Linked DNA regions of Anolis sagrei. The protein of the gene in region 1 interacts with the protein of each later gene in a biochemical or structural test. Links are inferred from orthologs where the notes say so. Each region holds a gene or a part of one and is shown on either strand. Other genes may lie near its edges. The genes, in order: COPS5, CUL3, MIF and IKBKB.

Region 1 (6,896 bases):
TTGCTGATGAACAATGCTGGCTCTTCGACTTAGAAATGGAGATGAGGACCACCCCCCAGAGTCCAACACAACTAGACTTAATGTCAGGGGAAACCTTTACCTTTTAAACCACATCAGCTCTAGTTTCTGATACGGAACATATGCCATCCAGAAGTCGCCATCTGCTTTCCCACAGAAAACCATACTGAATCTAGAGCTGATGTGGTAGTAGTAATCATTTGTGGGTAGTCAACCACTCCCCTCTCGATATCCCTGTTGCCTTGGCACTATAAGAAGGTTTCACAAGACCAGTCACAGGGTTTTGCGAGATCAGTCGCTCTCATTGCCACGTAGTTTCGAGGCAACAATGTTTTCATTCTTGTGGACCACGTGTACTGCCACGTCTCAAGGCAATGGCATCCCAGGAGTTGTAGTTTTACAAGGTCTTTAGCCTTCTTGGGCCAAGAGTGTGGCCTCCCCAAATTACAATTCTCATTTACTGGAGTTAATAGACTTTTAATTTAGACATATATACTTATATAGGGATATGCTTATCCATTTGAGTAAGAACTCCAACAACTAGTTCTGTGTGTGTTTTAAAAGAAATGAGAGCTAAAAGGATATCACCCATGAAAAGCACCTCTATGGACATGGGTGGCTTCTTAGTAGTGAGCAAAGATACTGAAAAAAAATATCTTTGATGCACTTTACATTGCTTGAAAGAAACTCAATAAAGTAATTAACAAACAGAAGCACAGGAAATATTCTATATATTAATTGGGGGTGGGCATGCTCATCAAGCTCTGAAGTAATAAATGATAGCAGTGCTATTTCCGGCATTCCTGTTATCTCTATTTGGGTGATTCTTGTTTCTTGAAATCCATTTTTCCAAAAAAATTTAACATATTTACAAGACCACCACATGTGTATATATGTACCAGTTTCTTGCCAGCCCCTCCAGCACTGCTTAGAGTATTTCTTATGGATTTGATTTAATCTGACTGGTGTGAGATGCCATCTCCACACCACTTTGTAATAATTCTCTTTTATTCTTATTGACAGATTTTAATATGCCATATTCCTTTCCAATTTTGAGGGTATATTACTTTAATACAATCCGATTCCCACATTCCTTTACGGTGGTCCTGCTCCTGGACTCCTTCCAACAATATTTTATAGATATCGCTTGTTACACCTTTTTGTTCTTCCTTTTTCTTCCTTACTCCCTCTTTGGCTAATCATTTCTTCAAATTTAGTAAGTTCTCAATCTCCTTTATATTTCTTTCTTATTCCCCTTAACCATCTTTCCAATTGTAGAGCTTTATACCACCCAATACTTCATCCTGATAATTGGTCCTTTATCTCCTCTATATTTTTCATCTTTGGTTCCCAGTCTTTTAATTTCATTATTCCTTTTTCTTTTAATTCTCTTTCTAACTCCTTTTTGAGATTTATAGGAAAATTATTTGTAATCAACACTGGAGTTAATGGGGAGATCGGCGGTATTAATTTTTCTTCATACTTAGACCATATTTCAAATATATATATATACTTAACAGCGTTCTCTATTTTGTTATACCATTTCTTCCCCAAATTCCTGATTTTCCCTATGAAGAAAATATATTCTGGATTTATATCTATGTCTTCACTCCCTCTTCTAACCATTCTAAATCACTCTGACCCATAATCCCTTTGACAATATACCTTAACTGGTTTGCTATGGAATGTCTAGGATGGGAGAAATCCCAACAAAGGATTCCCCAAGGCAGGAAGCAGCCAGACTTTAAAGCTGCAAGGCTATTCAATGTTAATCGAGCTGACTTTATATAACCATGGAATGTCCAGAATGGGAGAAATCCCAACAAAGGATTCCCCCAGGTAGGAAGCAGCCAGACTTTAAAGCTGCAAGGCTATTCAATGTTAATCGAGCTGAGTTTATATAACTGTGGAATGTCCAGAATGGGATAAATCTCAACAAGGGATTCCCCCAGGCAGGAAGAAGCGAGACTGCACGGCTATTCAATGTTAATCAAGCTGAGTTTATATAACCGTGGGATGTCCAGGATGGGAGAAATCCCAACAAAGGATTCTCCCAGGTAAGAAGCAGCTGTAAGGCTATTCAATGTTAAACAAGCTGAGTTTATATAACTGTAGAATGTCCAGGATGGGAGAAATCCCAACAAAGGAGTCCCCCAGATAGGAAGCAGCCAGACTTTAAAGCTGCAAGGCTATTTAATGTTAATGAAGCTGAGTCTGCCCCGGAGTGTAGTGGAGGCTCCTTCTTTGGAAGCTTGTAAACAGAGGCTGGGTGGCCATCTGTCAGAGGTGATTTGAATGCAATATTCCTGCTTCTTGGCAGGGGGTTGGACTGGATGGCCCATGAGGTCTCTTCCAACTCTAGGATTCTATGATTCTATATAACCGTGGAATGTCCAGGATGGGAGAAATCCCAACAAAGGATTCCCCCAGGTAGGAAGCAGCCAGACTTTAAGGCTGCAAGGCTATTCAATGTTAATCGAGCTGAGTTTTTATAACCGTGGAATCTCCAGGATGGAAGAAATCCCAACAAAGGATTCTCCCAGACAGGAAGCAGCCAGACTTTAAAGATGCAAGGCTATTCAATGTTAATAAAGCTGAGTTTATATAACCATGGAATGTCCAGGATGGGAGAAATCCCAACAAAGGATTCTCCCCGGCAGGAAGCAGCCAGACTTTAAAGATGCAAGGCTATTCAATGTTAATCAAGCTAAGTTTATATAATCGTGGGATGTTCAGGATGCAAGAAATCCCAACAAGTATTTTAGTTTTTATCTTGCACATGCGGCCTACTCATTGTTATGTTATTTTATTTTACTGTGTATGATTTTGGTTATTGTTTTTGTACTCATATGTTGTATGAATTTTTCTGTGTTGTCACTGTGTTTTGGTTTTACTTTATTGTAATATGCTGTTGGGCTTGGCCTCATTTAAGCCTCCCTGAGTCCCCATTGGGGAGATGGTGGTGGGGTATTAAATAAAGTTGTTTATTATTATTATTATTATTATTCCCCCCGGTGGCGCAGTCGGTTAAAGCACTGAGCTGCTGAGGTTGTTGATCGAAAGGTCGCAGGTTCGATTCCGGGGAACAACGTGAGCTTCTGCTGTCAGCCCTAGCTTCTGCCAACCTAGCAGTTCGAAAACATGCAAATGTAAGTAGATCAATAGGTACTGCTCCGACGGGAAGGTAACGGCGCTCCATGCAGTCATGCCGGCCACATGACCTTGGAGGTGTCTATGGACAACGCTGGCTCTTTGGCTTAGAAATGGAGATGAGCACCACACCCCAGAGTCAGACATGACTGGACTTAATGTCAGGGGACTACCTTTACCAACCTATTCCCCCAGGCAGGAAGCAGCCAGGCTTTAAAGCTGCAAGACTATTCAATGTTAGTCAAGCTGGCCAGCTGCAATATTCCCACTTGCCTCAAGTAGTCAAGAGTTCTTTGTCCCACCTCAGACATTCCACAGATATAAACCCCACTTGCCTAGTTTCCAACAGACCTCACAACCTCTGAGATGTGGGAGAAACGTCAGGAGAGAATGCTTCTGGAATATGGCCACACAGCCCGGAATATTCACAGCAACCCAATGCAGATGAGAAGTTCATGACTTCCTCCCGGTGCTTACGAATCTGCTTTTAGCCCAAGCTTCTAAGTTCAAAGCTTGTGTCTCCCAGGAGGCCTTGCGGCATGACGCGCCTTTTCCCCCGACAGCGCATGCGCCGTAACGCCAGGCGGAAATGACGCCAAAAAAAGGTTGGCAAGACAAAGCCGATTCCAGGCGGGAGGGTCACGCCGTTGTTGACCGCTAGGGGGCGCGCGAACTAGGGGCGTGCCGCACAGCGCGGACGGAACCCTTCCGCGAAGAGCGACACCCACCGGCTTCCGTAGTAGCACTGGGCTGGCGGAAAACAGGCCGGCAGGCAGGCTCGGTCCGGCTGCCTGCCTGTCAGTGGAGAGCGGGCCTTATGGCGGCGGCGGCGGCAGCAGCGGGGCCCTCGGGCAGCAGCGGGATGGCCCAGAAGACTTGGGAACTGGCGAACAACATGCAGGAGGCGCAGAGCATCGACGAGATCTACAAGTACGACCGCAAGCAGCAGCAGGAGATCCTGGCCGCCAAGCCCTGGACCAAGGAGTGAGTTCTGGGCCCAGCACCCTGGGAGGTGGTGTTTGGGGAGGCTTTAGAGCAGGCATGGGGCAGCTTGGGCCTTGCAAGGGTTTTGGACTCCAACTCCCACCATTCCTCACAGCCTCAGGCCCCTTCCTTTTCCCCCTCACTAGCGGCTGAGGGGGAAAAGGAAGGGGCCTGAGGCTGTGAGGAATGGTGGGAGTTGGAGTCCAAAACCCCTGCAGGGCCTAAGTTGGCCCGTGCCTGCTGCAGACTCATAATCTAAAGCCTGAACTATTCCTAGACGCTGACATAATTGAAATCAGACTGCCATGACTTATCATGAGAAGGCGTCACTCATTACAAAAGACGATACTCATTACAAAATGGTTCTGGCCCAACTTGCCTGTCCAAACAAATCTCCCCTTATGAACCTTCGAGGACTTTAAGATCGTCCAAAGGAGAGGCCCTGCGCTCGGTCCCGCCATCATCACAAGCACGGCTGGCGGGGATGAGAGACAGAGCCTCCTCAGTGGTGGCCCCTCAGCTATGGAACGCCCTTCCAAGGAGATCAGATTGGCTTCTTTGCTCCTAGCATTTCGGAAGAATCTTAAGACATGGCTATTTAAGCAGGCATTTGCGAATACTGAGTAACAGACATTATTATTATTATTATTAACTTTATTTGTACCCCGCTAGCATCTCCCAAAAGACTCGATGCGGCTTACAAAGGCCAAGGCCTCAAAACACAACATAACAATACACAACCTAAAGCAAATTTAAAACAGTTAAAGCAATATTAAACAACATGCAATAAAACAATACACCGGGACACAATAAAACTGGGCCGGGCCAGAGTAATGGGTACAGATTAAAAGTGCTGATGTGACAGGTGATATGTAAGGATTATAGGGTAGTGCAGTGTGCCAGCAATTTTAATTTCTAATAAAGTGCTTTCTGGGACTTGTTGTTGGAGTTTTCCTATTCTGGAAAGGCACATCGGAACAGCCAGGTCTTCAGGTTCTTTCTAAAGACTGCCAACGTAGGGGCCTGTCTAAGATCTTTGGGGAGGGTGTTCCAAAGTCGGGGGGCCACCACAGAAAAGGCCCTGTCTCGCGTCCCCACCAAATGCGCCTGCAACGCAGGCGGGATCACGAGCAGGGCCTCTCCGGATGAATGAAGTGAGCACGTGGGTTCATAAACAGAGATGCGGACATAAGAATGGAATAATAATAATAATATTTATTTGTACCCCGCCACCATCTCCCCAGTGGAGACTTGGAGTGGCTTACATGAGGCCAAGCCCAAACAACAATTACAGTAAAGAACAACCGAACGCAAACCGAAAATGCAAACAATAAACTGCAACATCATAATTACATAAAACATATTAATATACAACAATATAAAATTACAGTAAACACAAACACAGTGACAATGGGCGGGCTATATGTAATGGTTAAAAGAAGAACTAATTAAAACTGGTTAAAAACTCGGGTGAGATAAAAGAGAAACAAATTATTTGTGGAGGAGGGCTCATTATAGTGGGAGTTGTGGAATCAAGCTTTCCCATGAGGGGGGGAATGTATTCTCCAGTGACAGAACATTGCAAATGAATGATAATGTGGGATTGAATACCTATTCACCAAAGGCGCAACAGAAGAGCCAGGTTTTGAGGTTCTTTTTAAAAGTTTCTAGGGTAGGGGCTTTCCTAATTTTTCCTAACAACTACATGACGGGGCTGGACATTGTGTTAATAAGTATTTATTGAATTATGTTTTATTATAGTGTTATGATTTTATTGATGTTGACATTTTATATTGTAATTGTGTTCTTGGTGGCATTGAATTTTGCCTTGTAAACTGCCTCGAGTCGCCGGAAGGCTCAAAGCGGTGGTATACAAATATACTAAATATATAAATAAATATATTGGTGAGGTTGAAAGACCACGTTGCAGATAGAATCATACAGTTGGAAGAAACCCCTTGACAAGAAGCAGGAAAATCACATTCTTACTTAGGCGATCCCTCGTAGTTTGAGGATGATGGTCTTTCAGATGTGGTGCCTTGGCAGTGGGTTCGTAGGTGGCTGTTGAGCCTTATTCTTGATCCGCATGTTCTCCCGCAGTTAAGGACATTGGTTTCCAGGTGGAAGGCGGTTTCTGTCAGGGTTGGCTTGACGCGCCTTCCTCTTGGCATGTTTCTTCCTCCATTTGTGCCTCTTTGAATTCTGCAGCATTGCTGGTCACAGCTGACTTCCAGTTAGAGCACCCAATGGCCAGGGCTTCCTAATTCTCGGTGTCTATGCCATAGTTTTAAGCCCATCTTTAAATCTCTTTTCCAGCCCATCAACATTATGTTTTCCGTTCTTGAATTGGGAGTAGAGTAACTGCTTTGGGAGATGGTGATCGGGCATTCGGACAACATGGCCAGTCCAGCGGAGTTGATGGCGGAGAACCATAGCTTCACTGATGGTGGTCTTTGCTTCTACCAGCACATTTATATTTGTCCGCCTGTCTTCCCAAGAGATTTGCAGGATTGTTTTGGAGGCAACGCTGATGGAATTGTTACAGGAGTTGTGTGTGAAGTCTGTAGACAGTCCACGTTTCGCAGGCATTATAGCAAGGTTGGGAGAACAATGGCTTTATAAATCACATTCAAAGCACCCACGACAAATGACCATCCAACCTCTGCTTAAAAGCCTCCAAAGAAGGAGCTTCCACCATACTGGGGCAAAGAGTTCCACTGCTGAACAGCTCTCGCAATGAGGAG
Region 2 (7,455 bases), on another chromosome or scaffold:
TGATCTTGGAGGCGTCTACAGACAATGCCAGCTCAGAAACTGAGATGAGCACCACCGCCCAGAGTTGGACATGGGGGAGACCCCGCTGTTAGGCCCAGTTTCTGCCAACCTAGAAGTTTGAAAACATGCAAATGTAAACAGATCAATAGATACTGTTTCTGAGGGAAGGTAATGGCACTCTACGCAGTCATGCTGGCCACATGACCTTGGAGGCATCTACGGAGAGAAATTGAGATGAGCACCACCCCCCAGAGTTGGACATGACTAGACTTAATGTAAGGGGAACCCTTTACCTTTACCTTGCATAGCTAGCTGTTTGGAGAGAGGCAAGTGAAATATATAAAATATAATAACAATAGTTTCACAGTGCTCGTGGCTCACCGAACTACAACTCCCAGGATCCCATACCACTGAGCGTTTCATCAGGGACTGCCCTTTGACCAAAGAGACCTGGCAAAAGGTGGCTGTTGTCTTTGACTGGCCAGACTTGGTGATCCAACCTTGGGAGGCAGTGGCCTCAGGAATGGAGCCGGAAACCGGTATTTGGGGGCCACGTCGACACCAAGGAAGGAAGAAGAGGGGACAGCAGGGGGACACCCAGGAGGCTTTTTGGGATATTCCTTGGTCAACGACAAGGTTGATCAACTTGTAAGTTCTCCTGGTTTTGCATAGCTGGCCCTGGTTTTCCAGAAATAACTCAAAGAGAAATAAATCAAAACCCAGCAAATGTTACCTCTACTGTGAATTGGGTAGTAGAGAAAATAGGAGCCCTGAGTAAAACAGAATGAGGCAGGATGCCCTCTAACCAATAGAAAATGTTCTGGCCCTGGCTGGCAGGGACCACACAAGGGATCACCTGAAGAGTTGTAGGTTTTATATAGATATTAGTACAAAAGAAAAAATTGAAAAGTTTGATATATATTAACTGAAAGATATATGTGTGTGTGAATTTGCAATTGTGTTTGTAACTATAACTGTATTTGTAATTGAAACCAAAGAATGATTTAGAAAATGTAAATGTTACAAGAACTGTAAATATTACAAAACTAAGTACGTCTCATTTGATTGTGATTATCAGCAAATGTGTTTGTATAACATATTTATTATAATAAAAAGTACTTATAACCCCCCTGCTCCCCCAAATTACTTATATGTTCTCCTGAGCTATGGAAGTTTAAAAGCGGTGTCGAACTGCACTAATTCTAGATCAGACATGGACATACTTGGGTTAGAAATTGTGTGAGATGAAGTCCAAAACACCTGGAGGGCCCAGGTTTGCCCAGGCCTGATTTACACTATAGAAGCAATGCAGGTTAACATACTTTAATTACCTCGGCCCAATGCTATGTGCTCATGGGATTTGTTGTTCGATGGGGCACCCAGCCCTCTTGGGCAGAGAAGCCCAAACTCTGTTCATGCCTGTGCTAGATGCACCCTATAAACATCTATGTATGTATGTGTTGTAAGCGAATGACAATTAAAATCCTGTATTGTCGAAGGCTTTCATGGCTGGAATCACTGAGTTGTTGTAGGTTTTTCGGGCTGTATGGCCATGTGCTAGAAGCATTATCTCCTGATGTTTTGCCTGCATCTATGGCAAGCATCTTCAGAAGTTGTGAGGTCTGTTGGAAACTAGGAAAATTGGGTTTATATATCTGTGGAATAATGTCCAGTGTGGGAGAAAGAACTCATGTCTGTTGGAGCAAGTTATGTTTCAATTGGCCACCAGATTAGCATTTGATGGCCTTTTAGGTGTGGCTTGTTACTGCCTGGGGGAATCCTTCATTGAGAGGTGATTATTGTTGTTTATTTGTTCAGTCGCTTACGACTCTTCATGAACTCATGGACCAGCCCATGCCAGAGTTCCCTGTCGACCGTCACCACCCCCAGCTCCTTCAAGGTCAAGTCAGTCACTTCAAGGTTAACATCCATCCATCTTGTCCTTGGCCGGCCCCTCTTCTTTTTTTGCTTCCATTTTTCTCAGCATCATTGTTTTCTCTAAGCTTTCATGTCTTCTCATTATGTGGCCAAAGTACTTCATCTTTGCCTATAATATCCTTTCCTCCAATGAGCAGTCGGGCTTTATTTCCTGAAGTATGGACTGGTTGGATCTTCTTGCAGTTCAAGGCACACTCAGAATTTTCAGTAATAGTATGATAGCTGGTATGGAAGCTCCGAGCATTACGCACATTCCGCTACGACGATTGTGAATAAGAGAAGGGACCACGTAGTTCAGAGAGGGGGCGGAGTGAGAGCGGCACAGTGAGGTCAGGAATATACTTTGTAGTTGCATTTGGTGGAAGGATAGAAAGGAGGGGAGGGTTAGGATATGGTCTAGAGTAAGGTTTAGGGTTAGGATTAGGGGTTAGTCTTAGGGTAAGGTTTACGGTAGTAGGGTAAGGTTTAGGGTTAGGATTAGGGGTTAAGCTTAGGGTTAAGGTAAGTTTTAGGGTTAGGGTAAGGTAGGGTAAGGTTTAGGGTTAGGTTTAGGATTAGGGTAAGGTTTAGAATTAGGGGTTAGGATTGAAGGGTTAGGTTTAGGGTTAGGATTGGGGGTTAGGTTTAGGTAGGGTAAGGTTTAAGGTTAGGATTAGGGGTTAGGCTTAGGGTAAAGTTTAAGGTCAGGGTTTGGGTTAGGATTAGGGGTTCGTCTTAGGGTAAGGTTTAGGATAAGGTAGGGTAAGGTTTAGGGTTGGGTTAGGGGTTCGGCTTAGGGTAAGGTTTAGGGTCAGGGTTTGGGTTAGGATTAGGGGTTAGGTTTAGGGTTTGGGGTTAGGCTTAGGGTAAGGTTTAGGGGTTACGTTTAGGGTAAGGATTAGGGTGAGGTAGGGTAATGTTTAGGGTTAGGCTTAAGGATTAGGCTTAGGGTAAGATTTAGGGTTAGGGTTTAGTTTAGGCTTAGGGGTTAGGCTTAGGGTAAAGTAGGGTTAGGGGTTAGGCTTAGGGTTTTACCATTCAAGAACTCTTACATTCCTTCTATAATATGTGTCCGGCCTGGCTTATAGTATCTCAGTCTCTCACTCTGCCGCCCGTCTCGGTCATGTGTTCTGTTCTGCGTTGCGCAAACAGCGCTCCCAAAGGAGTGAAACGGACCCAGCTATCACTATCACCGAATTTTCCTCCAACACCACAGTTTATTTATTTATTTACTTATATACCGCTGTTCTCAGCCCGGAGGCGACTCACAGCGGTTCACAACAAATAAGAACAGCAAAAATTCAATGCAACAGTGTAAAAACAGTTAACAACCTACATATTACACAATTAATAAACAATTACTACAATAACCATTCACTGTCATCTCATCATCAGAAACATGATCCAGATTCGTCATCCATTGTTCCATTCCTATGTTCATTAACCAATGTTAATGTTCACTCCCTCTTGGTTCCGGCCCAAGATACCTAACTGACCGCCTCTTGGCCTATGAGCCCACAAGGACTTTGAGATCTTCCGGGGAGGCCCTGCTCTCGATCCCGCCTGCGTCACGGGCGCGGCTGGCGGGGACGAGAGATAGGGCCTTCTCGGTGGTGGCTCCTCGGCTATGGAACACCTTTCCCGTGGACATCAGGTTAGCTCCCTCCCTGTTGATATTCCGCAGGAAGTTAAAGACCTGGCTATTTAAGAAGGCATTTGATCAAGAAGTGCAATGACTGGTAATTTGACCATAGGAATGGAACAACGGAAATGATATCGGATTGTGGGTTTGACGATGAGACGACTTGGAATGGCTTTGTAGCAATGTTGATGTTTTGATGAGATGTTTTCTGATAATGTTGAATTGTGGATTATTTTCTTCATGTTGTACACCGCAATGAGTCGCCCTTGGGCTGAGAATTGCGGTATATAAGCGCAGTAAATAAATAAATAATCATTGCACTAATTACTCAAACACCTGCTCAAACAGCCAGGTCTTCACTTTTTTTGCGGAAAGTTCAAAAGCATCTATCTTCTTTCACTCAGCTTTCCTTAAGGGCCTGGTCTCACATGGTGATTAGCTGCCCCTGATTGTTTCTTGTCTGGAGTTCCCCTGTGTTTGAGTGTTGTTCTTCATTTCCTGTTATAATTTCAAGAGCTTCATTTTGAAGTACTCAACCCCTCCCCAACAGGGCCTGTGTTGGAACACCTGTCGCCCCAGAGCGGCCTTCGATGGAACAAACGTGCCAGAACTCCCTCCTCCCGCGAGCACTCTGGCCACGTGACCACAACCTCCCTCTCCACCCTCTCTCTCTCCTCCCCCCTCCCTTCCCGTGTCAGCAGCACCCGCCGCCGCGCGCCATCTTCCTCCAATCCCCGCCCACTCCGTCCTCCCACTTTCCTTCTGGGAGGAAGGAAGGAAGGAAGGAAGGGAGAGAAAGAAACCCCTCCCCCTCCTCCTCCTCCTTCTCAATCCTCCTCTTGGCCCCTCCCTTCCCCTCTGGTGGGAGTTTTCTCGAGAGAGAGAGAGAGAGAGAGAGAGAGAGAGAGAGAGGGAGTTCTCGCGAGAGCGGCCTTCTCCTCCTCCTCCTCCTCTCGCTGGCTCTTGCGCCGCCGCCACCGCCGCCGCCGGATCTGCTTGTGTTTCTGTCTGAGGGAGGAAGAGGAGGAGGAGGAAGGCGAGGAGGAGGAGGAGGGGAAAGGGAAGGGAGGGGAGGGGGGCGCCGCTCGGCCCTGCGCACTGAGCGATGTTTGGCCGCCATCGCGGCGGCGGAGGAGGAGAAGAAGCAGGAGCAGCGGGCAGCAGCAGCGGCGGAGGCGGCGAAGGGGGCTGAGGGGCCCGCCACTACTCCCACGCAGGAGCCACTTGGGCCTACCTCCCGCCTCGCCCTCGGAGTGAAGGTCGCCGCCGTGTGAGGAGGAGGGGAGGCCTTCCTTCTCCTCCTCCTTCGTCCCCCTTTCCCTCTCCCCTTCCTTCCTTCCTTCCCCTCAGGAAGGCCCGAAGATGTCGAACCTGAGCAAAGGCACGGGCAGCCGGAAGGATACCAAGATGCGGATCCGAGCCTTCCCGGTGAGTGAGTGAGGGAGGGAGGGAAAGAAGGAAAGAGTGAGGAGGCTCTCTCTCTTCAGGGGAGGGAGTTGGGAGAGTTGACGACGACGCGGCGGCGTTGGGCCTGGAGCCCCACAGCCGGCCTGGGCCTCGCCTAGGAGTTCCCTAGAGCCAGGCCCGGGCGCCAGAGGCTGTCAGCGCCGAGCCCACAGGAAGCGGAGGAAGAGGCCAGGCCGGGCCCACCATCGGCCCCTCGCTTCCCCGCCGAAGACATCCTCACCCCGGCCTCTCTTTCGAACGGTTTAAAAGAAAACAACAGCTACACCCGCCTCCACACAAACACACGCGAGTCTGTTACAGGCCTCGGCGTCAAACAGGACGGGCCCAAAAGTCACCTGATGTTTCTCATAACTCCCTCAAAAGAAAACAATTGGGAAAAGATTTCACACATAGGGTTTGTCCTGGGATACAAGGCCTGTCTGGAAGTGCCCATAAGCAGGAAGTTCTTCCTCCAAATGTTTTAAGTGGATTCCCTTTCCTTGCAGTTTGAATCCATGGCTCCTCTTTAGCCTTTTGATTTTAATTTCACATTATCATAACATCCTATAAGAAATAAATAAATTTACTGTATATACTCAAGTATATACTCTTGTTTTAGGCTGAAAAATGTCCCCCTCAGCTTATACTCGAGTCAAGGATATTTATTATTTTACTCTGTCATTATTATTATTATTATTATTATTGCATTTATTATTTTACTCTATTTATTATTATAGTTATTTTACTTTATTATTATTACAAAGTCCCCCTCGGCTTATACTCAAGTCAAGGTTATTTATTATTTTACTCTGTCATTATTATTATTGTTGTTGCATTTATTATTTTACTCTATTTATTATTATAGTTATTTTACTTTATTATTATTACAAAGTCCCTCTCGGCTTATACTCGAGTCAAGGTTATTTATTATTTTACTCTGTTATTGTTATTATTGCATTTATTATTTTACTCTATTATTATAGTTATTTTACCTTATTATTATTACAAAGTCCCCCTCGGCTTATACTCGAGTCAAGGTTATTTATTATTTTACTCTGTCATTATTATTATTATTGCATTTCTTATTTTACTCTATTATGACTATAGTTATCATTTTATTTTATTATTTTATTTTATAAGTGTTATAATTAAATGTAGTATTTTACTCTATGATTGTTATTATTCCATTTATTATTTCACTCTATAGTATTATTCCATTTATTATTTTACTGTCTTTATTATTATTATTATAAGGATACGTAAGCACATTTATATTGAAGGTTAGGGCAGTCTTATCTTAAATTACAATTTTATATAAATATTCAAAAACATTTAATCTACTGATGCCTCAATTAATGTAATTTTATTGGTATATTTTCATTTTGAAATGCACCAGTAGCTTCTGAATTTCTCACCCTCGGCTTATACTTGAGTCAATCAGTTTTCCCAGTTTTTGTGGTAAAATTAAGTGACTTGGCTTATATTTGGGTCAGCTTATACTCGAATATATACGGTATTTATTTACTTATATTACTTATACCCTGCTTTTCTCTACCCCAAGGGAGACTCAAGGCGGCTTACATATGGCAGTTATTCTATGTCTTAACACATACAGAAATTGAGCTAAAATAATTTGAATTGATAATACCCGAAGGGACTCAGACGTCCTACATGGGGCCAGGCCCAATGGTACACTTAAAACATAACACATTAAAATCACATCAACAAAATAATAACAGAAACTATATAGCAAAATAAATAACCAATAATGTTAGGCAATATAAAACAAAAGGTCAGGGCCAACAACCAACTGTAAGATTCAGTGTCTCATCGTGGGTGGGCGGACTGGTGCCACAACCATAGAGGACAGAGCTAGTGAGTAAGTCTATCATATAGCAGCATTAAGGGTAGAAAAAAAATATCAGCTAGGGTTGAGGTATATAAGGACAGGTTTTTGTATGTATGTCCTGACTAGGACCAGCTATCCAAGGAATTGCCTAGTCAAAGACGGAGAACATCATCCAGGTCTTTTGAGTCCTTGCGGAAAGTGGACAGAGAGGGTGCGAGCCAGATCTTACTAGAGAGGGAATTCCAGAGCTGGGGGGGGGGGGGGCACGACTGAAAACGCCCTTTCCCCACCATCTGCACCTGAGATGGAGATGGCAGCGAGAGAAGAACCTCACCAGAAGATCTTAAATATCGTGTGGGTTCGCAGAGGAAGATGCAGTCACAAAGATAGGCAGGCCCTGAACCGTTTAGGTGATGACCTGCACCTTGAATTGGGACCAAAAACGTATCGGCAGCCAGTGGAGCTGTTTAGGCGGCGGTGGGGGGGGGGGGGGTGTTACAATTAATAAATATTAAATATATTTTTAAATGACATTCAATGTTAAAATCATGCCATCCAGAAATTATAGTATAAGATCACTGCACATATTCCAATTAAATTA
Region 3 (7,899 bases), on another chromosome or scaffold:
ATGATTTAATTTAAATATTTTTAAATATTAAATATTTTTAAAATATTTACATTTTTTAAAAAAATTCAATAATTTAATACAGAATTAGTCATTTTTTAAAAAAACATTAAGAATGATTTAATTTGATATTTTTAAAATATTAAATATTTTAAAAATATTTACTTTTTTTAAAAAAAATTAATTTAATATGAATTTAATTTTTCTATGTAATATTTTAAGTTCGGTAAATTTCCTTATTTTTACATTTTTATTCTATTTTTAATTTCAGTAATTTAAAATAGAATTAATCATTTTTTAAATATTAAATATTTTTAAAATATTTACTTAAAAATTAATTTAATATGAATTTAATTTTTCTATGTAATATTTTACGTTTAGTTAATTTCCTTATTTTTACATTTTTATTCTATTTTTAATTTCAGTAATTTAAAATAGAATTAATCATTTAAAAAAATATTTAGAAGAATTTTCTATGTAATATTTTAAGAATTTTCTATGTAATATTTTAAGTTTGGTTAATTTTCTTGTTTTTAAATTTTTTTATTCCATTTTAAATTTCAATAATTTAAAATAAAATTAATCATTTTTAAAAAAATATGAAGAATGGTTTAATTTAAATATTTCAAAATATTAAATATTTTAAAATATTTAAAATATGAAAAATGGTTTAATTTAAATATTTTTAAAATATTAAATATTTTTTAAATTTTTACTTTTGTAGAACAATTGATTTAACATGAATGTAATTTTCCTCTTTTTCTCCTTCCTGCAGGAACACTTTGGCCAGTTCTGCTTCCTGCTTTTCATGGCCGTCTTGTATCTCTCCGGTTTCCTCGTTTACTTCTATCTTCCGGAAACCAAAGAGAAGTCGATCATGGAAATCCGGAAGGAATTCGACAAGATCAATTTCAAGAAGGAATTGGAAACGAGCGCTGCCCCAGACGCCCCCGCCTTCTGCACCAAATTATAAGGATTGGGGGGGGGGGGGGGGGGATAGATTTTTGGACCCCAAAATTCCTTCTTTCTAGAAATCCAAATTTATGCTTCCATTTTTTGTTAATAAAGCAACTGTTCTCGCTCTCTAAGTTACTTTGCATCCTTGTTATCTGTGTCTGTCCACCACAAAAGAATTACTGATAGTAACTACAAGTAACGGCAACTAATTATAATGCAAATTACCCAAATAACTGCAGTTGCAAAAAGAAATGTAAGTAACTACATTGTAAAACTAATTATATAAAAGTAACTGCAAAAGTAATTACAATGAATTAGAACATAAAAGCAACTGGTGAAAAGTAACTCTTGTTGCAAAAGGAAATGTAAGTAACGACATCATAAAAATAAATATGCTTATAAGTAACTAACACAAAGGTAACTGCTGACAAGTAACTCTTGTTGCAAAAGGAAATGTAGATAACATCGTACAACTAAATGTATAAAAGTAACTAACAATAATTACAACTATAACATAAAAGCAACTGCTGAAAAGTAACTCTTGTTGCAAAAGGAAATGTAAGTAATGACATCATAAAACTAAATGTGCAAAAGTAACAGTAACAATAATTACAAGTAACTACAATACAAAAGTAACGGCTGAAAAGTAACTTGTTGCAAAAGGAAATGTAAATAACAACATCATAAAACTAAATGTGTAAAAATAACAGTAACAATAATTACAAGTAACTACAATACAAAAGTAACGGCTCAAAAGTAACTTGTTGCAAAAGGAAATGTAACGACATTGTAAAACTAAATGTGCTTACAAGTAACTAACACAAAAGTAACTGCTGAAAAGTAACTTGTTGCAAAAGGAAATGTAGATAACATCGTACAACTAAATGTATAAAAGTAACTAACAATAATTACAACTATAACATAAAAGCAACTGCTGAAAAGTAACTCTTGTTGCAAAAGGAAATGTAAGTAATGACATCATAAAACTAAATGTGCAAAAGTAACAGCAATAGTAATTACAGGTAACTAACACAAAAGTAACTGCTCAAACGTAACTGCAGTTGCTGAAGGAAATGTAAGTAACAACATTGTAAAACTAAATGTGCAAAAGTAACTACTCAAAAGTAACTGCATTTGCAAAGGGAAATGTAATTAATTACAATACAAAATGAAATGTACAAAAGTAATTGCAATTCCAAAAATGTGTTGAAAAAGGAAATGTAAGTAATGACATCATAAAACTAAAGGTACAAAAGTAGCAGCAACAGTAATGACAAGTAACTACAACACAAAAGTAACCACTCAAGAATAATCATAGTTGCAAAAGGAAATGTGAGTAATTATAATACCAAACGAAACGTACAAAAGGAACTGCAATTACAAAAAGAAAACCATGATATGTAGTTGAACTGCAGATACTATTATTATTATTTTATGTATTTATTCCTTGCTGTATCTCCCTAAAGCGAACTCAAAGCGGCTCAAAGAGATCGGTGTAGATAACGTTATCACTATGCCTAAGTAACGAATGCTGGACAAGGTGTGTCTTGAACTACTTTCTAAGGGGCACTCTCCCTTCCCGCTCTCTGATTGGTCCTTGTCAACTCACTTCCTGCATTTTCTGCCAACTTCTGCCCAGAAATTGCATTAACTGCAAACTTGAAAAGGGTCAACAATTAGCTTGCATCAACTTTTGGTTTTCCTTTGGCCAAAGTGGAAAGAAAGAGGGAGAGACGGACAGAATGGCCGCCTTAGTCTCTGACCGGGTGAGCCATAGAATCCTAGTGATGGGATGGCAGAGTTGGGATGGTCCCCCAAAGGCCATCCAGTCCATCCGCTTGGGTCCCCCAGCCTCTTGAGTCCATACATTACTTTTCATGACTTATTTCTTCTGCTGTTGATTCCTCTCCCAAAAGGATTCCTTGGTTGATATCTAATTATACTTCCAGAAGAAGATCTCCAACCTCTGGAGACCAGGATGCAAGGGAGACATGGCTTCCAACTACAGGAAAGAAAGGAGATTCCACCTGAACATGAGGAAGAACTTCCTGACTGGGAGAGCTGTTCAGTAGTGGAACTCTCTGCCCCGGAGGGAGTGTGGTGGAGGCTCCTTCTTTGGAAGCTTTTAAGCAGAGGCTGGATGGCCATCTGTCAGGGGTGATTTGAATGCAATATTCCTGCTTCTTGGCAGAATGGGGGTGGACTGGATGATGGCCCACGAGGTCTCTTCCAACTCTAGGATTCCATGATTCCATGATTCTATGAATGTGTCCAGAGGAGGGAGACTCAAATGATCAAGGGTCTGGAGAACAAGCCCTGTGAGGAGTGGCTTCAAGAGCTGGGCATGTTTAGCGTGCAGAAGAGAAGGCTGAGAGGGGATATGATGAGAGCCCTGTATAAATATGTGAGAGGAAGCCACAGGGAGGAGGAGGGAGCAAGCTTCCTTTCTGCTTCCTTGGAGACTAGGACGCAATGGAACAATGGCTTCAAACTACAAGAGAGGAGATTCCACCTGAACATGAGGAAGAACTTCCTGACTGTGAGAGCCGTTCAGCAGTGGAACTCTCTGCCCCGGAGTGTGGCGGAGGCTCCTTCTTTGGAAGCTTTTAAACAGAGGCTGGATGGCCATCTGTCGGGGGTGCTTTGAATGCAATATTCCTGCTTCTTGGCAGAATGGGGTTGAGCTGGATGATGGCCCACCAGGTGAAATGTGGACCATTTCCGCTCCCTTGGCAGCCACCTCTCCACAAAAGTCAACATTGATACTGAGATTCAACACCACCTGAGCTCTGCGAGTGCAGCATTTTCCCGAATGAAGCAGAGAGTGTTTGAGGACCGGGACATCCGTAGGGAGACCAAGGGGCTTGTCTATAAAGCTATTCCCCTCCCAACCCTGCTCTATGCCTGTGAAATGTGGACTGTCTACAGATGTCAACACTGAGACTGAAATACAATACTGCCTGAGCTCTGTGAGTGCAGCATTCTTCTGAATGAAGCAGAGCATGTTTGAGGACCGGGACATCCGAAGGGAGACCAAGGGGCTTGTTTAGAAAGCTGACTGGGAGAGCTGTTCAGCAGTGGAACTCTCTGCCAAGATTCTTCTGAATGAAGCAGAGAGTGTTTGAGGACCGGGACATCCGTAGGGAGACCAAGGGGCTTGTTTATAAAGCCATTGTCCTCCCAACCCTGCTCTACGCCTGCGAAACGTGGACTGTCTACAGATGTCAACATCGACACTGAAATACAACACCGCCTGAGCTCTGCGAGTGCAGCATTTTCCTGAATGAAGCAGAGAGTGTTTGAGGACCGGGACATCCGTAGGGAGACCAAGGGGCTTGTTTATAAAGCCATTGTCCTCCCAACCCTGCTATATGCTTGCGAAACGTGGACTGTCTACAGATGTCAACATCGACACTGAAATACAACACCGCCTGAGCTCTGCGAGTGCAGCATTTTCCTGAATGGAGCAGAGAGTGTTTGAGGACCGGGACATCTGTAGGGAGACCAAGGTGTTTGTCTATAAAGCTATTGTCCTCCCAACACTGCTCTATGCCTGCGAAACATGGACTGTCTACAGATGTCAACATTGAGACTGAAATACAACATCGCCTGAGCTCTGTGAGTGCAGCATTTTCCCAAATGAAGCAGAGAGTGCTTGAGGACCGGGAAATCCATAGGGAGAGACCAAGGGGCTTGTTTAGAAAGCTGACTGGGAGAGCTGTTCAGCAGTGGAACTCTCTGCCAAGGGGAGGGAGGGCTCTCCTTCCTTCCTTCCTCCTTCTTCCTTCCCTGCCTTCGGGCTCCAGGAGGGTCTGCCTGTTTGTCTGCCTTTTCCAGGCTGTCCTCGTTTGAACCCTCTCTGCCTCCCTCCTTCCCACGTGACGCGGGGGGCGTGTCTGTGTCCCCCCCAAGGGGGTGTGGCCACCCCTCCCCTGGCCCCGCCCTCTTCCGGTCCTGGCCAGCTACGTGCTTGCACGCACAGACTGCCTTCTTCCCTGCCTTCCTGCCTTCCTTCCTTCCTTCCTTTCCTGCCATTGCGCTGCATTGCGACCCAGGCGGGCTTCTGTTTCCTTCCTTCCTTCCTTGGCTTCCTTGCTTCGACTTCCTTCCTTGGGGGAAGATGCCGATGTTCGTGCTGAACACCAACGTGGCGGCGGAAGGCATTCCGGACAGCTTGACCGCAGAGATCACCGACCAGCTGGCCAAGGCCACCGGGAAGCCCAGCCAGGTCAGGAAGAGAGGAAGGGAAGGAGGGAAGGAAGGGAAGGAAGGAAGGAGGAAGGAAGGAAGGAAGAGCGGGAGATGGAAGGAGAGAAAGCACAGGAAGGAAGGAAGGAAGGAAGGATGGGAAGGGAAAACGAAGGAAGGAAGGAAAGGAGGATAGAGGAAAGATTCCAGGAAAGGAGGGAGGGAGGGAGGGCTGGAAGGAAAGGAGGAGAGGAAGGGAAAGAGGGAAAGAAGGGAAGGGAAGAGAGAGAAAGGAAGGAAGGAGAGAAGGAGAGGGGAAAGATGGGAAGGGAGGACAAAGGCAGGAAGGAAAGGAGGATAGAGGAAAGATTCCAGGAGAGGAGAAAGGAGAGGAGGGAAAGAGGGAAAGGAAGGAGGAATAGAGGAAAGGATAGGAGGAAGGCAGGACAAAGGAAGGAAGGAAGAGGGAGAGAAGGAAGGAGAGAAAACTCAGGAAGGAAGGAAGAGAGGGAAGGATGGGAAGGGAAAACGAAGGAAGGAAGGAAAGAAGGATAGAGGAAACATTCCAGGAGAGGAGGAAGGAAGGAGAGAGGAATGAAGGTCTGGAAGGAAAGGAGGAGAGGAAAGGCTATGGAAGGAAGGAATACAGGGAAGGATGGGAAGGGAGGGCGAAGGAAGGAAGTGAAGGGAAAGAAGGGGGAAGAGAAAAAGGATTGCAGGAGAGAAGGAAGGAAGGAAAGGCTCAGGAAGGGAAGGAAGGAAGGAAGAGAGGAAAGGGTGGGAAAGGAGGGCAAAGGAAGGAGGGAAGTGAAGGGAGAAAGAAAAGAAAGAAAGAGGAAGAGATGGAAGGAGAGAAAGGCAGAGAGAGAAAGGAAGGGCCAAGGAAGGGATAGATGGATGGAAGGAAGGACAAAAGGGAGGAAGGAGGGAAAACTATAGGAGAGGTGAAAGGAGAGAAGGAAGGAAAGGAAGGAAGAAGTGGGCGGAAGGAAGAATGAACACAGAAGGAGAGAAAAGGAGGGAGGGAAAGACCAAGGAAGGAAGGAAAGATGGAAGGGAGGGAGGGAGGAAAAGGGGAAAGAAGGAAGAGAAAAGGGAGGAAGATTCCAGGAGAGAAGGGAGGAAGGAAGGAGAGAAAGGGAGAAGGGAAAACAAAATGCTAAAGAAGGAATAGATGGAAAGAGGGAACACAGGAAAGGATGGGAAGGGAGGGCAAAGGAAGGAAAGAAGGGAAGAAAGAGGAAAGATTCCAGGAGAGGAGGAATGAGAGGAGGGAAAGAGGGAGGGAGGAATCTTCTCTGAGAGAAAGCTCACACCCAGACAATGCTCTCTTGTCTTCTTCGCCCTTCCTTCCCTCCCTCCACCCTTTGTGACCTACTTATTTCCCCCCTTCCTTTCTCTCTTCCCTCCCTTTCCTTCTCCTCTTCCTTTCCTTCCCTCCATCCTTCCCTTCATTCATTCTCTCCCACCCTTGGCTACTGCCTTCTTTCCTTCCTTCCCTCTTTCCTTCTTCCTTCCCTGCCACCCTTTGTTCCCTCCTTCTTTCCTTCCTTCCCTCTTTAATTCCTCCCTTTCCCTCTCATTTCCTTCCCTCCCTTCCACCCTTTGTTCCCTCTTTCTTTCCTGTCTTCCCTTCCCTCCTTCCTTTGCTTTCCTCCATCCTTCCCTTCTTTCCTTCCCTCCCTCTTTCTTTCCTCTCTTCCCTCCCACCTTTTTTCCCCTCCTTCTTTCCTTCCTTCCCTTCCATCCTTCATTTCTTTCCTTCTCTCCCTTTGTTCATTCCTGCCTTGCCTCCATTTCCTTCCTTACCTCTTTAATTCCTTCCTTTCCCTCTCATTTCCTTCCTTTCCTCCCTTCCACCTGTTTGTTCCCTTTCTTTCCTCTCTTCCCTCCCCCCTCTTTACCTCCCTTTCTTCTCTTCTACATTCCCTTCCACCCTGTTACCTAATTCTTTCCTTCCTTCCCTTTCCTCTAATTTCCTTTCCTCCCTTCTTCCTTCCCTCCCACCCTTTTTCCCCTCCTTCTTTCCTTCCTTCCTTCCTTCCTTCCTTCCTTCCTTCCTTCCTTCCTTCCTTCCTTCCCTCCCTCCTTCATGTCTTTCCTTCCCTCCCTCCCACCCTTTGTTTCCTCTTCCTTCCTTCCCTCCTTCATTTCCTTCCTTCTCTCCTTCCCTCTTTCACTTTCCCCAGTACATCGCGGTGCACGTCCTTCCCGGCCAGCGCATGTCCTTTGGGGGCTCCTCGTCGGAGCCGTGCGCCCTGTGCAGCCTCCACAGCATCGGCAAGATCGGGGCCGCCCAGAACAAGGCCTACTCCAAGCTCCTCTGCGCACTCCTCCAGGACAAGCTACACATCCCGCCCGACAGGTAGGTAGACAGGTGGGCAGAGCGCCAGGGGACCACAGAAGGCAGCCAAGCAGGCACCCCACCCATCGCTAGGGACCACATTGACTCAAATCTAAGGCGCACCCCTTTGGGCGGGTTACAATTAAAGATTATTATTATTATTATTATTTTCCCCTAAACTGCCTTCCCAAAACCAGGCTGCACATTAGATTCACATCATCTATGGTCAATACTTTTGTGGCTTTCAGGGTTTTGAACATGGAGGGGCGCATCAGATTCGATGGCGCATTAGACTCCAGGAAATACTATATATATATATATATATATATAGAGGAATTGTTAGGAATTGTGGGAGTTGAAATCCCAACACACCTGGAGGGGGGGAGGGCCCAGGTTGGCCCATGCATGGTGTG
Region 4 (6,884 bases), on another chromosome or scaffold:
AATAAGATGCCAACAATGTGATGAACGCAGCACACTGATTCTCAAAACTGCCTCCCAAAACCTGACAAATAAATGCTTTTGGAGCCTTCAGGGAGTTGTTCTTGCAAGGAGATTTTGGAAAGGGCAAAAACGATATTCTGAAAAGGACAAGTAGCAGGGGATTATGAGAGGAACGTCGACAAGTCCATTTTAAATCGAGAATTTCATTATGCATTTAGTCTTTTTAATGTGTATCTTGTATGTGTTTTGATAGTGTTGTTGTGTGTGTTTTGATAGTGTTTACCGACTGTTAGGAATTGTGGGAGTTGTGGGAGCTTCGGGAGACAGTGGTCGGGCATCCGGACAACATTGGCAGTCCAGTGGAGTTGATGGCGGAGGACCATCGCTTCAGTGCTGGTGGTCTTTGCTTCTTCCAGCACACTGACGTTTGTCCGCTTGTCTTCCCAAGATATTTGCAGGATTTTCCAGAGGCAGCGCTGATGGAATCGTTCCAGGAGTTGCATGTGATGTCTGTAGACAGTCCACGTTTCGCAGGCATATACCAGGGTTGGGAGGACAATAGCTCTATAAACAAGCACCTTGGTATCCCTATGGATGTCCCGGTCCTCAAACACTGTCTGCTTCATTCAGAAAAATGCTGCACTCGCAGAGCTCAGGTGGTGTTGGTCAACATTTTCTAATGTTACACCATTAAGCTGTATCTCTGGCATTGGAGAGGGGTTGGCAGGAAACTGCTGGAACAGTACTTTGGTTTTTTTGATGTTCAGTGACAGGCCGAGCTTCGTGTATGCTTCTGCGAAGGTGTTTAGAGTGGCTTGTAGATCTTCTTCTGAATGTGCACAGACGACATTGTCACAAGCATACTGGAGTTCTGTAACAGATGTTGTTGTAACCTTGGTTTTGGCTTTCAGTCTGCTGAGGTTAAACAGCTTGCCATCTGTCTGATTATAGATTATTTCCACTCCGGTGGGAAGCTTCCTATCAACAAGATGAAGTATAGCGATGAAGATGGAGAATAAAGTTGGGACAATAACACATCCCTGTTTGACGCCTGATTCCACCTTAAATGGGTCACTTTGGAAGCCGTTGCTATCCAAGACTGTTGCCATCATGTCATCATGGAGGAGCCACAGGATGTTCACAAATAAAAGAATTACATAAATTCGAAACCATTACTGGATGAGGATGAACAAGCTGAAGATCAATCCCGACAAGACAGAGGTCCTCCTGGTCGATCATAAACCGGATTGGGGTATAGGGTGGCAACCTGTGCTAGACGGGGTTACACTCCCCCTGAAGTCACAGGTCCGCAGTTTGGGTGTCCTCTTGGATTCATCACTTACGCTTGAGGCTCAGGCGTCGGCGGTGTCCGGGAGGGCTTTTGCACAATTGAGACTTGTGCGCCAACTGAGACTGTACCTCGTAAAGGCTGATCTGGCTGGGGTGGTCCATGCCTTGGTCACCTCTAGATTGGACTACTGTAATGCACTCTACGTGGGACTGCCCTTGAAAATGGCTCGGAAATTTCAACTGGTCCAACGGGCGGCGGCCAGGCTGTTAACTGTCGCTCCTTACAGAAAGAGGTTAACCCTCCTGTTTAAAGAGCTCCATTGGTTACCGTTCATCTTCCGGTCCCAATTTCAGGTGCAGGTGCTCACCTACAAAGCCCTAAACGGTTTGGGACCCGCCTACCTGCGTGACCGCATCTCCATATATGAACCCACATGTTCCCTTCGATCATCTGGAGAGGCCCTGCTCACGATCCCACCTGCGTCTCAAGCGCGTTTGGTGGGGACGAGGGACGGGGCCTTCTCTGTGGTGGCCCCCCGACTCTGGAACTCTCTCCCCAAGAACATCAGACAAGCCCCAACTTTGACAATCTTTAGGAAGAGCCTGAAGACCTGGCTGTTCCAGTGTGCCTTTCCAGAATAGGAAACTCCCGGCATCATGTCCCAAACGCACTTTGTTAGAGACCAGGATTGTCTGCACATTGCACCTACCTCCAAAAATCGTTACATACCTCCTGTCAAGTTCAGCACTTTTAAATTTTGTCCATTACATTTGGCCCGGCCTTCTAGATTTTAAATGCATCATGGTGTCATTGTTTTTAGTGTTTTATTGTCTTTGCTTGATGTTTTATTGTTTGCTTATGAGTTTTATTGTTATATTTGTATGTTGTTGTTTGTTGCAGCCTTGGCCTTTATAAGCCGCATCGAGTCCTTCGGGAGATTTTGCAGGGTATAAATATAGTTAACAATTAATAATAATAATAATAATTTTCCATGTATTGTCGAAGGCTTTCATGGCCGGAATCACTGGGTTGCTGTAGGTTTTTCCGGGCTATATGGCCATGTTCTGGAGGCAATTTTTCTCCTGACGTTTCGCCTGCATCTATGGCAAGCATCCTCAGAGGTAAAGAGGTCTGTTGGAAGTAGGAAAAACTAGGTTTATATATCTGTGGAATGACCAGGGTGTGACAAAGGACTTTTGTTTGCTGGGGCTAGCTGTGGATGTTTCAGCTGATCACCTTGATTTGCATTTGAAAATTGCATAATTTTCCAGATCACCAGTCTGGGCCACAGCAACGCATGGCAGGGGACAGCTAGTGCTTCCTATGTCCCATCTGCATGGGGGTATTGGGGTAACTTTGGCCTTACAGAGGGATGTGGACTCCAGCTCCCAGAAGACTCAGCCAGCATTCTGGGAGTTGAAGTCTCAGCCGCAAGCCACGCCCCTCTGGCCCTCCCTCCCTCCCTCCCTGACTCACTTTGTGCTGCCAGCGGATGACGTTGCCGAAGCCCCCGGTGCCGAGCCGTTCGCGCATCTCCCAAGCCCCGCAGGAGGCCGTGGGCTGGAGCGGTGGAGGAGGCGGAGGCGCCATCGCAAACCAGCCCGGCTTCTCCTCACGGGGACACCGAATACAACCCCCCTTCCTCCTCCTGCTTCTGTTTCCTCCCTCAGCAGCAGGACTAGGCCGCGCCGCTCTCCTTCCGCGTCTTCAGGAAAAGGGAGGCGGGCCCCGAGGGAGAAAAAGACTAGGCCGCGCCTTAAAGGGACCGCAGCATTAAAAAAAAAGAAAAACAAATAGATCAGTGGTTATTATTATTATTATTATTATTATTATTATTATTATTAAACTTTGTTTGTACCCCGCTAGCATCTCCCGAAGGATTCGATGCGGCTTACACAGGCCAAGGCCTCAACACACAACACAACAATACAATCTAAGCAAATCAAACAATTAAAAACAGAATAAAGCAAAATAAACAACAGGCACAATACACTAAACACAATAAAACTGGGCCGGGCCAGAGTAATGGGTACAAGATTAAAAGTGCTGATGTGACAGGAGATGTATATAGGGTGACCCCCCCCACCACCACCACAACATGAGGAACTGTATTGAGGGGTCGCAGGATTAGGAAAGTTGAGAACCATTGTTGTTGTTCATTTGTTCAGTCGTCTCCGACTCTTCGTGACCTCATGGGCCAGCCCACGCCAGAGCTCCCTGTCGGCCGTCACCACCCCCAGCTCCTTCAAGGTCAGTCCAGTCACTTCAAGGATGCCATCCATCCATCTTGCCCTTGGTCGGTCCCTCTTCCTTTTGCCTTCCACTTTCCCCAGCATAATTGTCTTCTCCAGGCTTTGCTGTCTCCTAATGATGTGGCCAAAGTACTTCAGCTTTGTCTCTAGTATCCTTCCCTCCAGTGAGCAGTCGGGCTTTATTTCCTGGAGGATGGACTGGTTGGATCTTCTCGCAGTCCAAGGCACTCTCAGAACTTTCCTCCAACACCACAGCTCAAAAGCATCGATCTTCCTTCGCTCAGCCTTCCCTAAGGTCCAGCTCTCACATCCATAGATTACTACAGGGAATACCATGGCTTTGACTAGGCGGATCTTTGTTGCCAGTCTGATGTCTCTACTCTTTACTATAACATGAGGAAACAACCAGGCACATCTTAACACCTCTCAACAAAAGATTTTCCCAGGCTCAGGCAGGCCTTCAAATGCTAATGAAGGTGGCCAGTTGAAACATTCACACCTAGCTCCAGCAGAGAAGAGCTCTTTGCCCCACCCCAGCCATTCCACAGATATATAAACCCATTGTCCTATTTCCAACAGACCTCACTACCTCTGAGGATGCTTGCCATAGATGCAGGCGAAACGTCAGGAGAGAATGCCTCTGGAACATGGCCCTATAGCCCGAAAAAACCCACAAGAACCTAGTGATTCCAGCCATGAAAGCCTTCGACAACCATAACATTATTTTCATTGCTACTTCATACATTTTGTAATTTTGCTATTGTTATTAATCACAATGTGAAAACATATCTGATATGCAGTGTGTGTTTTCATTCATTAACTGGAACAAAGTTGGCAAAAATATCCACATTTGAATACTGGTGGGGTTGGATGGGGGAATGATTTTGTCATTTGGGAGTTGTAGTTGCTGGGATTTATAGTTCACCTACAATCAAAGAGCATTCTGAACTCCACCAGAGATGGAATTGAATTGATGCGGCTTACAAAGGCCAAGGCCTCAAAACACAACACAACAATACAACACCTAAAGCAAATTAAAAACAATAAAAGCAATATTAAACAACAAGCAATAAACAATACATCAAGACACTATAAAACTGGGCCGGGCCAGAGTAATGGGTACAGAATTAAAAGTGCTGATGTGACAGGTGATATGTAAGGATTATAGGGTAAGTGCAGTGTGCGGTGTGCAGCAATCTTAGTTCTAATAAAGTGCTTCTGGGACTTGTTATTGGAGATTCCTAATCTGGAAAGGCACATCGGAACAGCCAGGTCTTCAAGTTCTTTCTGAAGACTGCCAATGTAAGGGCCTGTCTAAGATCTTTGGGGAGGGTGTTCCAGAGTCGAGGGGCCACCACAGAAAAGGCCCTGTCTCGCGTCCCCCACCAAACGCACCTGCGACGCTGGCGGAATCATGAGCAGGGCCTCTCCAGATGACCGAAGTGAGTGCGTGAGTTCATAAATGGAGATACGGTCACGTAGGTAGGATGGTCCCAAACCATTTAGGGCTTTGTAGGTAAGCACCTGCACCTTAAATTGGGCTCTGAAAATAAATGGCAGGCAGTGGAGCTCCTTGAACAAGCATTGGTGAGCACCCTCTGGGTTCATCCATTTAACCAATTACAGATCCACCTCACCGTAGTGTTGCCTAGCCCACATTGGAATAGTTTGTTTGCCAGAAGGTCATGGGGAACCTTGTCGAAGGCCTTACTGAAATCCAGGTATGCTTCATCCACGGCATTCCCCGCATCTACCCAGCTTGTAACTCTATCAAAAAAAGAGATCCGGTTAGTCTGGCATGACTTGTTTTTGATAAATCCATGTTGACTTAATAAACCATTAAGCTGTATTTCTGGCATTGCAGAGGGATTGGCTGGTGCTTGCTGGAAGAGTACTTTGGTTTTCTCAATGTTCAGTGAAAACAGTACCATATAATCCTGTTCAAAGCTGATCATCTGGATTCAGAGACGAGTATAGGGCAGTGTAGTTTGGGCCTGTGATATGATGTAGCCACAGGAGGGCAGCATCTGCTCTATTTATAGATAAAATTTATGCGTAGACAGAAGTCTAAGATTTGTGTTTTGCATCCTTGGCATGAGGCAGAAAGTATTACTACTGTGATTTCTTTTTCTCATCCTCTTCACTACACAAACACAAAAACATCCTAAGGAAAGCATGCCCTCATACATTTATCCTCTGCTCTGGATTTTCCGTTGCAGAACTACTCCAATGTCCAGATGGGATCACATCTTCCTGCAACCTTACCCACTCCTTCGCACTTTGGTAAAATTTCCCCTTTTCCGTGCTTAATAATGTGGCCATTAGGTCAAGCTTTGCTAGACAGGCAAAGAGGCTTCAATGGGATGCTTTTAATGCACAAACCATGTCAACAATCAATTCAACTTTGTGTTTCAAAAGGCATCTTCTCTGTCACAATATCAGGAGTTTCCTTTTTGCATCTAAAAAAGGTGTTTCCATTTGGAGGATTGGTAAGGAGACTGGATGGCCATAAAATTATTTATGAATTGTAATGTAAATATCTGCTACACAGGATATGTTTTCATTCACTGGTCCAAATTTGGCACAAATACCTGGAACGCCCAAATTTGAATCCTGGTGGGGTTTGGGGGGAATTGATTTTGTCATTTGGAAGTTGTAGTTGTTGGGATTTATCGTTAATCTACAATCAGAGGGCATTCTGAACTCCACCAAAGATGGAATGGAACCAAACTTGGCACACAGAACTCCCACAACCAACAGAAAATACTGGAAGGGTTTGGTGGGCATTTACCTTGCGCTTTGGAGTTGTAGTTCACCTACATCCAGACAGCATTGTGGACCCAAACAATGATAGACCTGGACCATGCTTCGCATGGATACTCAATATGCCCAAATATGAACACTGGTGGGGTTTGGGGGAAATAGACCTTGACTTTTGGGAGTTGTAGTTGCTGGGATTTATAGTTCACTTACAATCAAAGAGCTTTCTGAACCCCACCAACGATAGAAATGGGCCAAACCTTTCACACAGTACCCCCATGCCTTGAAGGGACTCACTGGCGCAAGCCTCCCTCCAGCATCACATGCTCTTCCTTGCTCGCACATGCGCACCACGCTGCCATGTGCTGGGTATGCCTGCTCTCCCCTCCCCTGCTTGAAAATTTAAAAACAACCCTCCCCTTGGTTTTGAGGCCAGCTGAGAGGCCAGTCACTCACAGCAGAGGAGGGCTTTGGTGGGAGGATTCCCCATCTGTTTTCAAAAAAGAACAGAAGGACAGGCAGAGAGATCTTCAGCCTTCTCTGCCAAAGGGGTTCCTAAGACCCTCAGAAATACATGTTTT

Evidence for each region.
Region 2: of the proteins of COPS5 (region 1) and CUL3, one has a biochemical effect on the other in vitro, tested with the Homo sapiens proteins (2 studies listed by BioGRID). The link is inferred for Anolis sagrei from reciprocal best matches to the Homo sapiens genes COPS5 and CUL3.
Region 3: the proteins of COPS5 (region 1) and MIF form a complex in vitro, tested with the Homo sapiens proteins (2 studies listed by BioGRID). The link is inferred for Anolis sagrei from reciprocal best matches to the Homo sapiens genes COPS5 and MIF.
Region 4: of the proteins of COPS5 (region 1) and IKBKB, one has a biochemical effect on the other in vitro, tested with the Homo sapiens proteins (2 studies listed by BioGRID). The link is inferred for Anolis sagrei from reciprocal best matches to the Homo sapiens genes COPS5 and IKBKB.

What each region holds. Positions count from the first base shown.
Region 1 is NC_090024.1:45,219,232-45,226,127, forward strand, and holds the start of COPS5 (COP9 signalosome complex subunit 5), read left to right. Parts: upstream 1-3,872; 5' UTR 3,873-3,985; coding exon 3,986-4,152; intron 4,153-6,896. UniProt on the Homo sapiens protein: Probable protease subunit of the COP9 signalosome complex (CSN), a complex involved in various cellular and developmental processes.
Region 2 is NC_090023.1:234,255,537-234,262,991, reverse strand, and holds the start of CUL3 (cullin-3), read left to right. Parts: upstream 1-4,447; 5' UTR 4,448-4,921; coding exon 4,922-4,987; intron 4,988-7,455. UniProt on the Homo sapiens protein: Core component of multiple cullin-RING-based BCR (BTB-CUL3-RBX1) E3 ubiquitin-protein ligase complexes which mediate the ubiquitination and subsequent proteasomal degradation of target proteins.
Region 3 is NC_090026.1:765,799-773,697, forward strand, and holds the start of MIF (macrophage migration inhibitory factor), read left to right. Parts: upstream 1-4,893; 5' UTR 4,894-5,074; coding exon 5,075-5,182; intron 5,183-7,331; coding exon 7,332-7,507; intron 7,508-7,899. Other genes in the region: solute carrier family 2, facilitated glucose transporter member 11-like, read left to right, coding at 773-970.
Region 4 is NC_090027.1:24,636,405-24,643,288, forward strand, and holds the start of IKBKB (inhibitor of nuclear factor kappa-B kinase subunit beta), read right to left. Parts: upstream 3,021-6,884; 5' UTR 2,882-3,020; coding exon 2,768-2,881; intron 1-2,767.